Saccharomyces cerevisiae S288C: one gene and its partners. The gene in region 3 interacts genetically with the main gene of each other region. Each region holds a gene or a part of one and is shown on either strand. Other genes may lie near its edges. The genes, in order: CBC2, MTO1, EXG1 and CHK1.

What was found.
Region 1: mutations in EXG1 (region 3) and CBC2 together harm fitness more than expected from each alone (negative genetic interaction), as found in Saccharomyces cerevisiae (2 studies listed by BioGRID).
Region 2: mutations in EXG1 (region 3) and MTO1 together harm fitness more than expected from each alone (negative genetic interaction), as found in Saccharomyces cerevisiae (2 studies listed by BioGRID).
Region 4: mutations in EXG1 (region 3) and CHK1 together harm fitness more than expected from each alone (negative genetic interaction), as found in Saccharomyces cerevisiae (3 studies listed by BioGRID).

Annotation. Positions count from the first base shown.
Region 1 is NC_001148.4:210,584-213,297, reverse strand, and holds CBC2 (nuclear cap-binding protein subunit CBC2), read right to left. Parts: upstream 1,141-2,714; coding exon 514-1,140; downstream 1-513. Other genes in the region: CUP9 (Cup9p), read left to right, coding at 1-256.
Region 2 is NC_001139.9:53,216-57,372, reverse strand, and holds MTO1 (tRNA modification protein MTO1), read left to right. Parts: upstream 1-1,576; coding exon 1,577-3,586; downstream 3,587-4,157. Other genes in the region: ADE57 (bifunctional aminoimidazole ribotide synthase/glycinamide ribotide synthase), read right to left, coding at 1-891; YGL235W (uncharacterized protein), read right to left, coding at 1,558-2,094; transcription activator HAP2, read left to right, coding at 3,845-4,157. UniProt on the Saccharomyces cerevisiae protein: Component of the MSS1-MTO1 complex that catalyzes the 5-carboxymethylaminomethyluridine (cmnm(5)U) modification at the 34th wobble position (U34) of mitochondrial tRNAs.
Region 3 is NC_001144.5:727,077-730,831, forward strand, and holds EXG1 (glucan 1,3-beta-glucosidase), read left to right. Parts: upstream 1-1,878; coding exon 1,879-3,225; downstream 3,226-3,755. Other genes in the region: ECM38 (gamma-glutamyltransferase), read left to right, coding at 1-975; HRI1 (Hri1p), read left to right, coding at 3,749-3,755. UniProt on the Saccharomyces cerevisiae protein: Glucanases possibly play a role in cell expansion during growth, in cell-cell fusion during mating, and in spore release during sporulation. This enzyme hydrolyzes both 1,3-beta- and 1,6-beta-linkages and even has beta-glucosidase activity.
Region 4 is NC_001134.8:747,706-751,678, reverse strand, and holds CHK1 (serine/threonine protein kinase CHK1), read right to left. Parts: upstream 2,086-3,973; coding exon 502-2,085; downstream 1-501. Other genes in the region: DNA-binding protein RIF1, read left to right, coding at 1-323; UBX7 (Ubx7p), read left to right, coding at 2,308-3,618; HSM3 (Hsm3p), read left to right, coding at 3,876-3,973. UniProt on the Saccharomyces cerevisiae protein: Serine/threonine-protein kinase which is required for checkpoint-mediated cell cycle arrest and activation of DNA repair in response to the presence of DNA damage or unreplicated DNA.

The DNA of each region.
Region 1 (2,714 bases), on a different chromosome or scaffold from region 3:
TAGTGATTACTATACCCTGGTAAACTCAATTCCTAATGACAACGCGAATAATACCCCAGTGGAACGAGTTCAAAACGTCTCAGCATATCATAACACATTATCTGCCACAAATAATACTATGTACGATGCTACGTCAACCTGCTCCACGGATTATGAATTATCCAAGAGATTTGCTCATGCCCCCGTTACACGCCGTAAAAAACTAATTGATAGGCTGGAAGAATTGAAAAAGCTATCCAACCCTGATATGAATTGATCACTTATCAATGCATTACTTAAATATTCATATAATTATATCTATTACCATTTACATTTTATCGTTACTATATATAGTATTATCATGTCATTGAACGTGTTACGTCTATTATGTTACACTGATTTTTTTTTTTTTTTTTTACATAACAGCATCATGCAAGCCTTTAAAAATAATGTAGGTATGTATATATACAATAATATATATATATATATATATATCTGTGTGTAGAATCTTTCTCAGATATAAATTGATTGATTCTACTGAGGTACGTAGTTATCATCTTCTCTTTCTTCATCGAAACCTGGTCTGAAAGTACCCATTGCATCAGGAGGAGGGATATAATTATTCGTATTAGATTGTGAGCTACTGTTATCAAATCTGGAATGTGGTACGCCGACACGCTCTGCAAATGGAATGGCGAAGCCACCTCTGGATGCATCAAAATCGAACCTCAATTCATCGCTGACTTGACCACCGCTCTTACCACGACCAAACTGTCTTCCATCTTCAAAACCAGGATCTAGATCAATGGTAATTGTCTTTTCGTCTAACTTTGTATCGGACAAATATTTTAAGGCATTCAATGCTTCATCTGGACAACTATATATAATAAAACAGAAGCCACATGGCGTGAACTTAAAACGGTCCAAACCCATAATTATTCTTTTTATTGTGCCACATTTACTGAATAATTCGTAAATTTGTTCTTCTGATGTATAAAAGGAAAGATTTCCTACATAAATTGTGGATGACTTCATCGACTCACGCAGTTCTTGTAGCCCGTTAGGGTTTCTTCTAGCCTTGCGCAGCAGGTACCTTGATGGTGTATCTAGGCGTTTAGTTGAATGATCATATTTAACTTCGTCAAATTCTTCCAGGGACATCTTTCCCTTTATTTATTGGTATATTAATGGATGCAACTTTTATTCGATATTAGTCCTTTCGGGACTTTAAAAGCTGTCGAGACACTTTCTCCATATAAACTCATGTTCTATATTCATACATATAATATTTTTCTTGAAAAAAACACAAAAACTGTTAAAGCGGGTAATACTTTGATAAGCACTTATTAACGTTTATACCATACACTACTTCATACACCAATTACAAATCTATTAGTGGTATACTTTTACTGTAGACAATGTGGATTTTGATGTAATTGTTGGGATTCCATTGTGATTAAGGCTATAATATTAGGTATATAGATATACTAGAAGTTCTCCTCAAGGATTTAGGAATCCATGAAAGGGAATCTGCAATTCTACACAATTCTATAAATATTATTATCATCATTTTATATGTTAATATTCATTGATCCTATTACATTATCAATCCTTGCGTTTCAGCTTCCACTAATTTAGATGACTATTTCTCATCATTTGTGTCATCTTCTAACACCGTATATGATAATATACTAGTAACGTAAATACTAGTTAGTAGATGATAGTTGATTTTTATTCCAACATTTACTGGTACAATAGGTGTATGATATTTTCCCAAAGTTTAAATTTATATAATATAAGTGGCTTGTGCATTAATGCTCTTGAACGAAACTGGATAACGAAAACTGCAAATACTTGTAGTTTTAAACAGACACTTTCTGGGATAGGTCTATCAGCGAAGCTTGGGAATGTTTCGCCAAATTACCTGTATCCTTTCATGAGCGTGAGCAGGTTTAGGTCATGGTCACATCTTATTATATAAATTCTTTCAGAAGATTGTCAATTGTCCATCTATCGCCATAGATTATCTGAGAGCGAAGTTCCATTATGTCTACTAGTAGAAAATAATTTGAAGTTGAAATATAATAGCATTACAAAATTTTTTCTTTATATAGTCCGGTCTTGAAGAAGGATAACAATATTAAGTGTATGAAGACACAAGAACTTTTTCTTGGAAATTTGGATTTTTATGGGAGGAAACCTACAGCGGCAATGTATAATTATGATTAGTTCATCCTTTGCTGCCATCTGTTCGCAATTATTCATGCAATTGTATGATTATTGTCAGGCATTTCAACTTCCGGTAGATTCGTTTGTAATAATAGGTGAATTTTGTGTTGACATTATCAAACCGTTAAGATAGTGTTAGTTGCCAATTAGCATTTGCCTCGATAGAATGTGACGTTAGTTGTGGTACTAGGAATAAAAGTTGATGGCCAAACATTTTTCCTGCACATTTCCTTCAGCGTTTTCAGAAAAGAGAATTTGAGTAAAAATATTTTTGATGTTTAGGTTACCAATATCTCATTAATATAAATTTGAAAACAATGAATTTTGGGTTATACTTGGAGTGCATTTTATTGTGGTTAAAGGCTACAATATTAGCTAAACAGAATGTACAAGTAGTTTTCCTGGAGAATAAAAGAATTCTAAAAGAGAATCGATAATTCTATACAATAATATAGTTATCTCTTCTTTCGTTTATGTACTGTCGTTCTTGTTTTATTACGTTATTA
Region 2 (4,157 bases), on a different chromosome or scaffold from region 3:
TAACACTTCGGGAACAAGTTGATTTGTCTTAGAATCCTTCACCAAAATCATCCCGGTGAACAGCACACCAACAAAGGGCATACCATCACGTCTCATCCCATCAATCGTAGGCTTCACAATCTGTGAATCTATGGTCTTCAACAAAGATGGTGTGGCCACAGGAGCGGGGGCATAGGCACCCATCCCACCGGTGTTCAAGCCCTTGTCGCCATCAAAGATCCTCTTGTGATCTTGTGCGACGGGGAGATTGAAGTGAGAGTACCCGTCAACAATGGTGAGTAGAGAGATTTCATCACCTTCCAAGAATTGTTCTATCACAACCTGCTTGCCCGCTTCTTCACCGAATTGCTTGGTGACCATTATGTCCTTGATAGCTTGGACGGACTCGTCGATGCTAGATGGGATAATAACACCTTTCCCAGCAGCGATCCCGTCGGCCTTGATGACAAAAGCTTTGTCAGTATGAGCTTGCAAGAATGAAATGGCTTCTTCTGGATTAGTGAAGACATCATAAGACGCGGTTGGAATATTGTGTTTTGACATAAATCTCTTGGAGAAAGCCTTGGAAGCTTCCAACTGAGCGGCTTTGACGGAAGGTCCAAAAACGGGAATACCAACGCTATGGAACACGGAGGTGATGCCGTTGACTAGAGGTAATTCTGGACCAGGAACGACCAAGTTGATCTTATGTTCCACAGCCATCGACTGCAAACGAGCAAAATTGGCGACATCTGGCGTAATATCCCAGTTTATCACACGCGAAGGATCCATGGTTGCGGTCCCTCCATTACCTGGAGCGACATAGATCTTACCCACGGTGGGTGACTGAGCCAGCTTGGTGACAAGAACGTGTTCTCTTGCACCGTTTCCTAAAACGAGAATGTTGAGCATTGTGAGGGGAGGGAGAATGGTTCTCTTAAGCTATGATTAAGAAAGTAATAAGAAATAACTGCGCTACTAGTGGTAGCTCCTGGGACGGTTAACAGCGGTTGCACTTGCCTCTGAACATAGTTTAAATACCAAGTTCAAGCCCATCGCATATTCATTATTGCTGTTATTACCAGGACACGAGTCAGTCGGCACTTGTCACTACCGACGGGGCGAGTCAACTGAAAAAAAAAATGAAAAATTTTGAAAAAAAAAAAAAGCTGCTTACTGCCACTATTAGTCACGGTATGAACAACGGCAGTTGAAGATTAGACGATTTCTTAACGCTTAGGTAGTTATTAGAGTATGATATAGTAGATTCAAGTTTATGATATCTGTCTGTCCCTGTGTGGGGTTGTAGTAATGCTGTGGCTTCTTTCTTGTTACTTAGATATGGCGTTGCAGAAGGAACGTACAAAGAGGTGCTTCTTCATCCGGGGGTCTTCTACTTTTGTATGGCTCTTGATCGCCACCGTGTAATCGAGCCCTTGTGGCTTCTCTAAGGTACCTGTGTGCGGCCACTTTCTTTATGGTTGGTAACGTATGGTGGCATCTTTCACAGACGGATAAGTGCGGTTTAATTCTTCACTTAAATCTTGAGGGCATCCAATAGTTTCTGCAGAATACCAGCTAAACGCCCCAAAGAACGATGCTGCGTGTAACAACCTTGGCGTCTTCGTGTACTTCATTTCCCTTACAGGTCCTCAGGAGGCGGTTGACCATATCTTCTTTGACAAGCTTCCAACCCACAACCAAGACACAGGTCGTGGTCATCGGTGCTGGACATGCAGGCTGCGAAGCTGCAGCTGCGTCATCTAGGACTGGTGCGCATACTACTCTCATTACACCATCGTTAACAGATATTGGTAAGTGTTCGTGCAACCCCTCTATTGGTGGAGTGGGTAAGGGCATCCTTGTAAAGGAAATCGACGCTCTCGATGGGCTGATGGGCAAAGTAACTGATCTCGCTGGAGTGCAATTCAAAATGCTGAACAGAAGCAAGGGTCCTGCTGTGTGGGGGCCCAGAGCCCAGATAGACAGAGAGTTATATAAGAAATACATGCAAAGGGAACTTTCCGACAAGAAAGCACACCCCAACTTGTCTCTGCTGCAGAACAAAGTTGCTGACTTGATCTTGTATGACCCCGGATGTGGCCACAAGGTCATCAAAGGTGTGGTTCTGGATGACGGTACCCAGGTTGGGGCAGATCAGGTCATAATCACTACAGGTACGTTTCTCAGTGCAGAAATTCACATCGGCGACAAGCGTATTGCAGCAGGAAGAATTGGCGAGCAGCCAACATATGGGATCAGCAATACTCTACAAAATGAGGTGGGCTTTCAGTTAGGGCGTTTGAAAACAGGCACTCCGGCTAGGCTGGCCAAGGAATCCATTGATTTCAGCGCTCTGGAGGTCCAGAAGGGAGATGCGTTGCCTGTCCCTATGAGTTTTCTGAATGAAACCGTGTCAGTCGAACCCACGAAGCAACTGGATTGCTTTGGCACACATACCACACCTCAAATGCACGACTTTTTGCGCAATAACTTGCATCAATCCATTCATATTCAGGACACGACCATCAAAGGCCCCCGCTATTGTCCCTCCATCGAAGCTAAGATTCTAAGGTTTCCTGATAGATCTTCCCATAAGATATGGTTGGAACCAGAAGGTTTCAACTCCGACGTCATTTATCCGAACGGGATATCCAATTCTATGCCTGAGGATGTCCAGTTACAAATGATGAGGCTCATCCCGGGCATGGCAAACGTTGAGATCTTGCAGCCGGCATACGGCGTGGAATACGACTACGTAGACCCACGGCAATTAAAGCCTAGCTTGGAAACAAAATTGGTGGATGGACTATTCTTGGCCGGACAAATAAATGGTACTACAGGCTACGAGGAAGCCGCTGCACAGGGGATCATTGCAGGTATCAATGCAGGATTACTATCGCGCCAAGAACGGGAGCAATTGGTCTTGAAAAGGTCCGAAGCGTACATTGGTGTGCTCATTGACGATCTAATCAATAATGGCGTCATAGAACCATATAGAATGTTTACTTCCAGATCAGAATTCAGAATCAGCGTAAGAGCCGATAACGCAGACTTCAGACTGACGCCCATTGGTGCTCAACTAGGGATTATATCTCCTGTCCGTTTAAGTCAATATTCAAGAGACAAGCACCTATATGATGAAACAATACGGGCGCTTCAAAATTTCAAGCTAAGCTCTCAAAAATGGTCTAGCTTACTACAGGCTAATATCGCGCCACAGGCTGAAAACAGATCTGCTTGGGAAATATTCAGATTCAAAGATATGGATCTACATAAACTCTACGAGTGCATTCCCGATTTACCCATTAATTTGCTGGACATCCCAATGCATGTTGTCACCAAAATTAACATTCAAGGTAAATACGAACCTTACATTGTCAAACAGAACCAGTTTGTGAAGGCATTTCAGGCAGACGAAAATATGCTGTTGCCGCAAGATTACGATTACCGTCAGTTACCCACGCTTTCCACTGAATGCAAACTACTCTTGAACCGCGTACAGCCATTGACCATAGGCCAAGCAAGACGGATTCAAGGTATCACTGCGGCAGCCCTATTTGAACTCTACCGTGTGGCACGGAAGCCAAGCCAACCAGTCATGTAAATATCCTTTAATCGTTAGCTTGTATATGTAAATAATTCATTGTATGTAACCATCAAATTCGTTATTTAGCAATCTTACCCGGAAAACTTCTTGTATCGTAACATTAATTCTCCCTTACAAGGGGACCTCGATGAATAAATAAAGTGTTTGTGTTGAAGGTACTTGCAAAAGGGCAACTCACTGTCGTTTATAATTTGATTTACTAATCGCATCTGTATTTGGAAAAGCATTTCTTTTTGGAAGAGGAACAAGAACGCCATGTCAGCAGACGAAACGGATGCGAAATTTCATCCATTAGAAACAGATCTGCAATCTGATACAGCGGCTGCAACATCAACGGCAGCAGCTTCACGCAGTCCCTCTCTTCAAGAGAAGCCCATAGAGATGCCCTTGGATATGGGAAAAGCGCCTTCTCCAAGAGGCGAAGATCAACGGGTTACAAATGAAGAAGATTTGTTTTTGTTTAACAGATTGCGGGCATCACAGAATAGAGTTATGGACTCCTTGGAACCACAACAACAGTCACAGTATACATCTTCCAGTGTCAGTACGATGGAACCATCTGCCGACT
Region 3 (3,755 bases):
CATGTTACTAAACCACTGTCCATGAAAATTAGGAAGGGCGCCAATTTCATCCCTGATAACGATATGACCGTATTAACAAGTAGCGGCTCAAGTTCCGGGGCTGCACTACTTGCGGCGTTAAGGATAATGGATAATTTCCAGAATCAAGAAGGGGGCGATTATGAAAAAGAAACTACCTATCATTTGCTTGAAAGCATGAAATGGATGGCAAGCGCAAGAAGCAGGTTAGGCGATTTTGAAGGCGAAGCATTACCTAAGCATATAGAAGAGGTATTGGATCCAGAATGGGCTTTGAAAGCAGTGAAATCAATCAAAAGAAACTCTCAAGACGGAAATTTTAAAACTTTAGAAAACTGGACGCTTTATGATCCGGCATACGATATCAATAACCCGCATGGAACTGCCCACTTCAGTATAGTAGATTCACATGGGAATGCTGTTTCCTTGACAACCACCATCAACTTGTTGTTCGGTTCCTTAGTACACGACCCAAAAACCGGGGTGATCTTCAATAATGAAATGGACGATTTCGCTCAATTCAACAAATCTAATAGTTTTGAATTGGCACCCTCCATATACAACTTTCCCGAGCCCGGGAAAAGACCCCTATCATCCACTGCACCCACTATTGTGCTGTCAGAATTAGGCATCCCAGACCTCGTGGTCGGCGCTTCCGGCGGCTCAAGAATCACTACGAGTGTTTTACAAACAATTGTGAGGACGTACTGGTATAACATGCCTATATTGGAAACGATAGCCTATCCACGTATACACCACCAGTTACTGCCCGACCGCATAGAACTGGAAAGCTTCCCCATGATCGGTAAAGCCGTACTAAGCACTCTCAAGGAAATGGGATATACGATGAAAGAAGTATTTCCCAAGAGCGTAGTTAATGCTATACGCAATGTCAGGGGAGAATGGCATGCGGTGAGTGACTATTGGAGAAAAAGAGGAATCTCCTCCGTATACTAAGATGTGGGGTAAGAATGGTACTGTAATATAGTTCAAGATAATAGTACGTAATGTAGGGAGCCTGCTTCTGTGGTATATAAATAAATACTGGGCTTGCGTTTATTTTTAAAGAATCAATATTTACTTTTCATTAACAAAGGGCATACGCCCTTAAAACAAAACAAAAAATCCAGATCATGCGAGCTTTGCCTTTTTCAGTAAGTTTCCCTACCTTGCAGCCGAGACGCGACTTCGGAACGATGCCAGCATACGTATTTACCATTATTAAAAAAATCTGATGGCTTGATACTGCGCGTTTCTTTTTATAGCATTAATACGCACACATACGCGCATTGTTGTTTACTATAAATAAACCGTGGGGACCTGACCCAGTCATCCTCCCTGTGTTTACAGTGCGGTGCACACGAGCCTGAGACAAGCCCGTAACCAGGCGCGTTGCCGCAAATACAGAGGCGCCCCAGACAACACCGCAGTGTGAAGCACTGTCAATTTAAAACCGTGGCTTGCTGGAGATGCCCAGACCAACCCTGTTGGGTTTTTCTCTCGAGCACGCCGTTATAATTTTAGCGTGTTCCGTACCTGTGTGCACATCAATAAGCGGTGTAACAAACTTGAACTTGCCATCTCATATCGTCATATGAGCAGTTGCAGAGAAAGGCACTTTAAATAAAAAGGCGTGGATGATAAAAAATGTATATAAGTTGGATGGATTTTTGGGAAAAAGTAATGTTTTTGCAGACGTTTTAAATACTCCCTCCCTTTTCTTAGTAATTTTTATTATGTATTGACTAAGTCAAAAATAACTATAGAAAACTAAAGTTTACGAGAGGACCCAAAAGTTTTGAATAACACGTGCCTTTGATTTTTTGTTTACTTTCTTTTTCTAGTTAATTACCAACTAAAATGCTTTCGCTTAAAACGTTACTGTGTACGTTGTTGACTGTGTCATCAGTACTCGCTACCCCAGTCCCTGCAAGAGACCCTTCTTCCATTCAATTTGTTCATGAGGAGAACAAGAAAAGATACTACGATTATGACCACGGTTCCCTCGGAGAACCAATCCGTGGTGTCAACATTGGTGGTTGGTTACTTCTTGAACCATACATTACTCCATCTTTGTTCGAGGCTTTCCGTACAAATGATGACAACGACGAAGGAATTCCTGTCGACGAATATCACTTCTGTCAATATTTAGGTAAGGATTTGGCTAAAAGCCGTTTACAGAGCCATTGGTCTACTTTCTACCAAGAACAAGATTTCGCTAATATTGCTTCCCAAGGTTTCAACCTTGTCAGAATTCCTATCGGTTACTGGGCTTTCCAAACTTTGGACGATGATCCTTATGTTAGCGGCCTACAGGAATCTTACCTAGACCAAGCCATCGGTTGGGCTAGAAACAACAGCTTGAAAGTTTGGGTTGATTTGCATGGTGCCGCTGGTTCGCAGAACGGGTTTGATAACTCTGGTTTGAGAGATTCATACAAGTTTTTGGAAGACAGCAATTTGGCCGTTACTACAAATGTCTTGAACTACATATTGAAAAAATACTCTGCGGAGGAATACTTGGACACTGTTATTGGTATCGAATTGATTAATGAGCCATTGGGTCCTGTTCTAGACATGGATAAAATGAAGAATGACTACTTGGCACCTGCTTACGAATACTTGAGAAACAACATCAAGAGTGACCAAGTTATCATCATCCATGACGCTTTCCAACCATACAATTATTGGGATGACTTCATGACTGAAAACGATGGCTACTGGGGTGTCACTATCGACCATCATCACTACCAAGTCTTTGCTTCTGATCAATTGGAAAGATCCATTGATGAACATATTAAAGTAGCTTGTGAATGGGGTACCGGAGTTTTGAATGAATCCCACTGGACTGTTTGTGGTGAGTTTGCTGCCGCTTTGACTGATTGTACAAAATGGTTGAATAGTGTTGGCTTCGGCGCTAGATACGACGGTTCTTGGGTCAATGGTGACCAAACATCTTCTTACATTGGCTCTTGTGCTAACAACGATGATATAGCTTACTGGTCTGACGAAAGAAAGGAAAACACAAGACGTTATGTGGAGGCACAACTAGATGCCTTTGAAATGAGAGGGGGTTGGATTATCTGGTGTTACAAGACAGAATCTAGTTTGGAATGGGATGCTCAAAGATTGATGTTCAATGGTTTATTCCCTCAACCATTGACTGACAGAAAGTATCCAAACCAATGTGGCACAATTTCTAACTAAGTCGCCCTCAGTCCGCTCATTTTAGCTGAATTTTCTAATGTTATTTTTCATCAGCAAAACTTAACAGAACGTTAATTTATCTACCCCTTTTAGTTCATTATCTCTTTTTTATCCAACATTTTACAGAGATCTCTCACTTAAGTCTAAGTAAAGACATTATTTTATATGGTACACTTATAGAATATACGATAATAATAATAAAAACTATGTAACATAACCTTCAGAATTTAATATTAGTTTCCTTTTTACCTCATTGCACTAATAAAAAAATTCTACAGAATCTCCGAAAAAGAAAATCCAGCTTACTCTTTTTGTTTTCTTCTTCACACGTGAGCTTTTCCGCCGGCATACGTTCCGTTCCGTGTCGTCTTGCATAAAATTTCCGAATCACATGTTCGTAAAACAACCGGAAGTGCCCCGAATATAAAGTCAATTCTCACCGCTGTTGTAACTGGAGCTTTAAGGTGTTATCTAAGGAAGGATAAAAGAACTTAAACAACAACAAACAAAAAATTAAGTTACAATGCCAG
Region 4 (3,973 bases), on a different chromosome or scaffold from region 3:
GCTTAGACACCGTACCAAAAACAATTGGTGGAAAAGAAAAACACCATGAAATTCAATTAGGCCAAGCCCACACAGAAGCAGATGGCGAACCTTTGTTGGGGGGAGATGGTAACGAAGATGCTACATCTAGGGAAGCCACACCTTCATTAAAAGTGCACTTTTTTTCAAAAAAGTCGAGAAGGTTAGTGGCCAGATTGAGAGGGTTCACACCGGGCGACTTGAACGGAATATCTGTGGAAGAAAGAAGAAACTTGAGAATTGAATTATTAGATTTTATGATGAGGCTCGAATATTACTCAAACAGGGATAATGATATGAATTGATTGTTAGTATGTAGAATAGATCAAAATGGCAATAAATTAATTACAATAATAAAATCTCTCGAAACAATATATAGTTACGATGACACACTAGAAATCGAGAGAGATATATAATAAGTAGAAAGAATTTTTTTTTTTTTTTGATCAGTGCATCTTAACCCTTCTTTTGTCTCCATTTTTTTCAGTTGGGAATTAGGATAATATCCCTACAGATAGTTGAAATTTTCTTGAACAATCTTCTCCATTCTAAAGGATCACCAGTTTTTCTTTCAAATCCGACACTTTTCAACTCTTCTTCAATCTTTATGATGGAAATGCTACCGCATAATTGATAACCCCCATTACTTTTGGTTTTAATATTTATAATAAGTGGGAAAACGTTATCATAACCCAATAATTCGCACAATCTTTCAAAATTCGCAAAAAGGTCGGGTTTTACTCTAATTTGTGATAAATTCAAGGCTTTCTCCAAAATCGGTAACAAAACATCCATAGGTTGCAACGTGTAGAACTTGGTAAGTTTATTCGGATTAAATTGTAAATGTCGTTTTACTAATTCATTACAATCATTTTCATCAGAATGAAACTGTAAGGCAGCGATATCATAGCTTATGAATTGCGTCCACTTAGCCTCTTGTGTCATACCTGTTCCGCTATTATAGTTCGTATTTGAATCATACGAGGTAAATGCACGTTGTGTATTCGAAACTGTCTGGAAATGCATTGAGTCGTGTTCAAGCTCAGCCAATTCGTTACCAATTGGCTGAGTAGAAATGTACCTATTATTAGAGTTTGTATCTTGAGTGAATTTCAAATAATTTTCGTTACTCAGTGAGACTTTTAAGTGAGAAAACAGTTTCTTAGCCAAGAGTTCAGGGTCATTACAGAGACCATCATCCCCAGAAAATGAAGCTCGACGTAATACCCAAGGATGTAACTTTAAAGCCTTCAATGTCACCCTCTTATTTGGGTCAGGTTGTAAAATTTTTCGGAGTAGGTTCAAGTGAGTAAATTCTATCTTTGACCAGGGTCCCCAGTTTAAATTTCCATCATTTTCAATAAAAAAGACGAAATCTTCGTTCTCTAATGAAGGTAATTCCCAAGGCGTTTGACCAGTCAACAATACGAACAAGAGGATGCCAATAGACCATATATCTGTTCGATCTGCGTAATAACCCTCTTCAGAATATAATACTTCAGGAGCCATGTAGGGTGGAGAACCCCTTTGATCCATGGATACACGTAATGTACCATCTTTCCTCCTAAATTGAGAGGCGAGCCCAAAATCAGCTAGCTTCAGATTTCCGTTCTTATCGAGTAAGATGTTTTCAGGCTTGATGTCTCTGTGAGCAACTCCACATTCTACATGCAGATAATTAATAGCACTAACGAGCTGTTGAAAGTAAAATTGGGCCACGTCGGAATCAACTCCAACGTCAGGCTCAATCTTATCAAATAGATCACCACCATCTGCCATCTCCAGAATTATCCACATATATTCTTTAGAGACATTACAATCGATAAGTCTCAAAACATTAGGATGCTTAGAACACTTCGATTGCAAAACAACCTCTTTTGTGATATCCTTGTCACTGAGTCCCATTTTTTTGCAAGTGGGAACATGAATGAATTTAACAGCTAGAATAATGGAGGGATCCATTTGAAGATGAGCATTTTTAACGCAGGCGAATGCGCCTTGGCCTACTGTATCTCCTAAAACAACATCCTTGATATGGGGTAAAGGTGACACCTGCGAGAGACTCATAGTAATACGTGCTGCCCATATACAGCAACTTATGATATACTCTTATGTTTGAAGCTGTAGTTGTTTTTATTTGCCATTCAATTATTAAAATGACATTTAAAGCCGCTCTTTATTAACTTCGGCAGGCCTCGTAGTAATGTTGAAAATTTAAAAGGGAGCTGGGTTGAGGTTGAAAGCACTTACAAAGAAGCAAGGATAGCTAAACCAAACAGCCGTAACCAAATGTTAGAAGCACTGTTTAGAGATTCTGTGGAAGAAGCAATAAACGATTCCATCAAGGAAGGCGTTGTGCTGGCCGTTTACAACACTGCACGGGATGACCAGTGGCTGAAAAGTTGGTTTAAAGGAGATGATGTCTCATTAGATACTTTAGCGGAACATAGTATTTGGTTGAGGTTGGTCAAAGACACTGAGCAGTTCCAGTTATTTGAGCAAGTATTTCCTAATGTAGTTGTACCCAGTATATACTTGATACGTGCTGGAAAGATAGAATTGATTATTCAAGGCGAGGATGACCGACATTGGGAGAAGTTGCTGGCGTGCATAGGCATCAAAGACAAAAAGGCTGGTGAGAGTTCGTCCAGGGAAACCAATCCAGGTTTGGCTAGAGAAGAAAAGTCATCCAGAGACGTCCATAGGAAAAATGCAAGAGAACGGATTGCTGAGACTACCTTAGAGATCCAACGTCGTGAACAACTGAAACAAAGAAAGCTGGCTGAGGAGGAAAGAGAAAGAATTATAAGACTTGTTAGGGCAGACCGTGCAGAAAGAAAAGCTCTTGATGAAACTCATCACAGAACCCTTGATGATGATAAGCCATTGGATGTTCATGATTACATAAAAGACGCACAAAAACTGCACAGCAGCAAATGCGTCTTGCAAATCAGGATGACTGATGGCAAGACTCTAAAACATGAGTTCAACTCGTCTGAAACATTAAATGACGTTAGAAAATGGGTGGACGTCAACAGGACAGATGGAGACTGCCCGTACTCATTCCACAGGGGCATTCCCAGAGTGACATTTAAGGATTCTGATGAATTGAAGACGCTAGAGACACTAGAACTAACTCCAAGGTCTGCATTATTACTTAAACCACTAGAAACTCAAAACTCGGGGCTATCTGTGACTGGGATGGAGGGACCAAGCCTTTTGGGCCGTCTTTATAAGGGATTCTCTACGTGGTGGCACAACGATAAAGATCCTGAAGTAACATCACAACGTGAGGAAACATCGAAGCCGAATCGTCACGAAGTGAGGTCTTCAACACCTTTATCTGGAGCTGCTTCGTCAAGCTGTTTCCAATACAACAATGTTCGGGAACCAGTTCAATCATCTGCTCATGCATCACCAATGCTGACACCTAGCGGAACCAGGTACCCATCGGAAACCAACCTTACTACGTCACGTTCTGTCTCGCCAAATGTTTTCCAATTTGTTAACAACGATCATCAAGAAGATCCTGAAGACCCAACAACCTTTAATGGTAATAATGTCCATTTAGAAAAGAAAAAGGACGAAGATAAAAAATAAGTAGTTAATGGCTTCAACTCCATTTATGACTAGTATTAGACGTGAATTTTTTTTGATTAGATTACATAAAAAAATATACAGTAATTTTATTTACATGGATTTTTGTTATAGCTGGTATTTTTATATCTTTTTTTCTGTTTCAAATGCATATAGAAAAATTGAAGAGTAAGTTTATATAAACACCTTAATTACGGGATTAAAAATAAAACAAGTTTACAACTATAATCACCGCAAAAGAACTCAGCGAAACAGGAGCAATGAGTGAGAAAGAAACAAATTACGTGGAAAATCTCCTTACGCAATTAGAAAATGAACTTAATGAAGATAACTTGCCTGAAGATATCAACACACTATT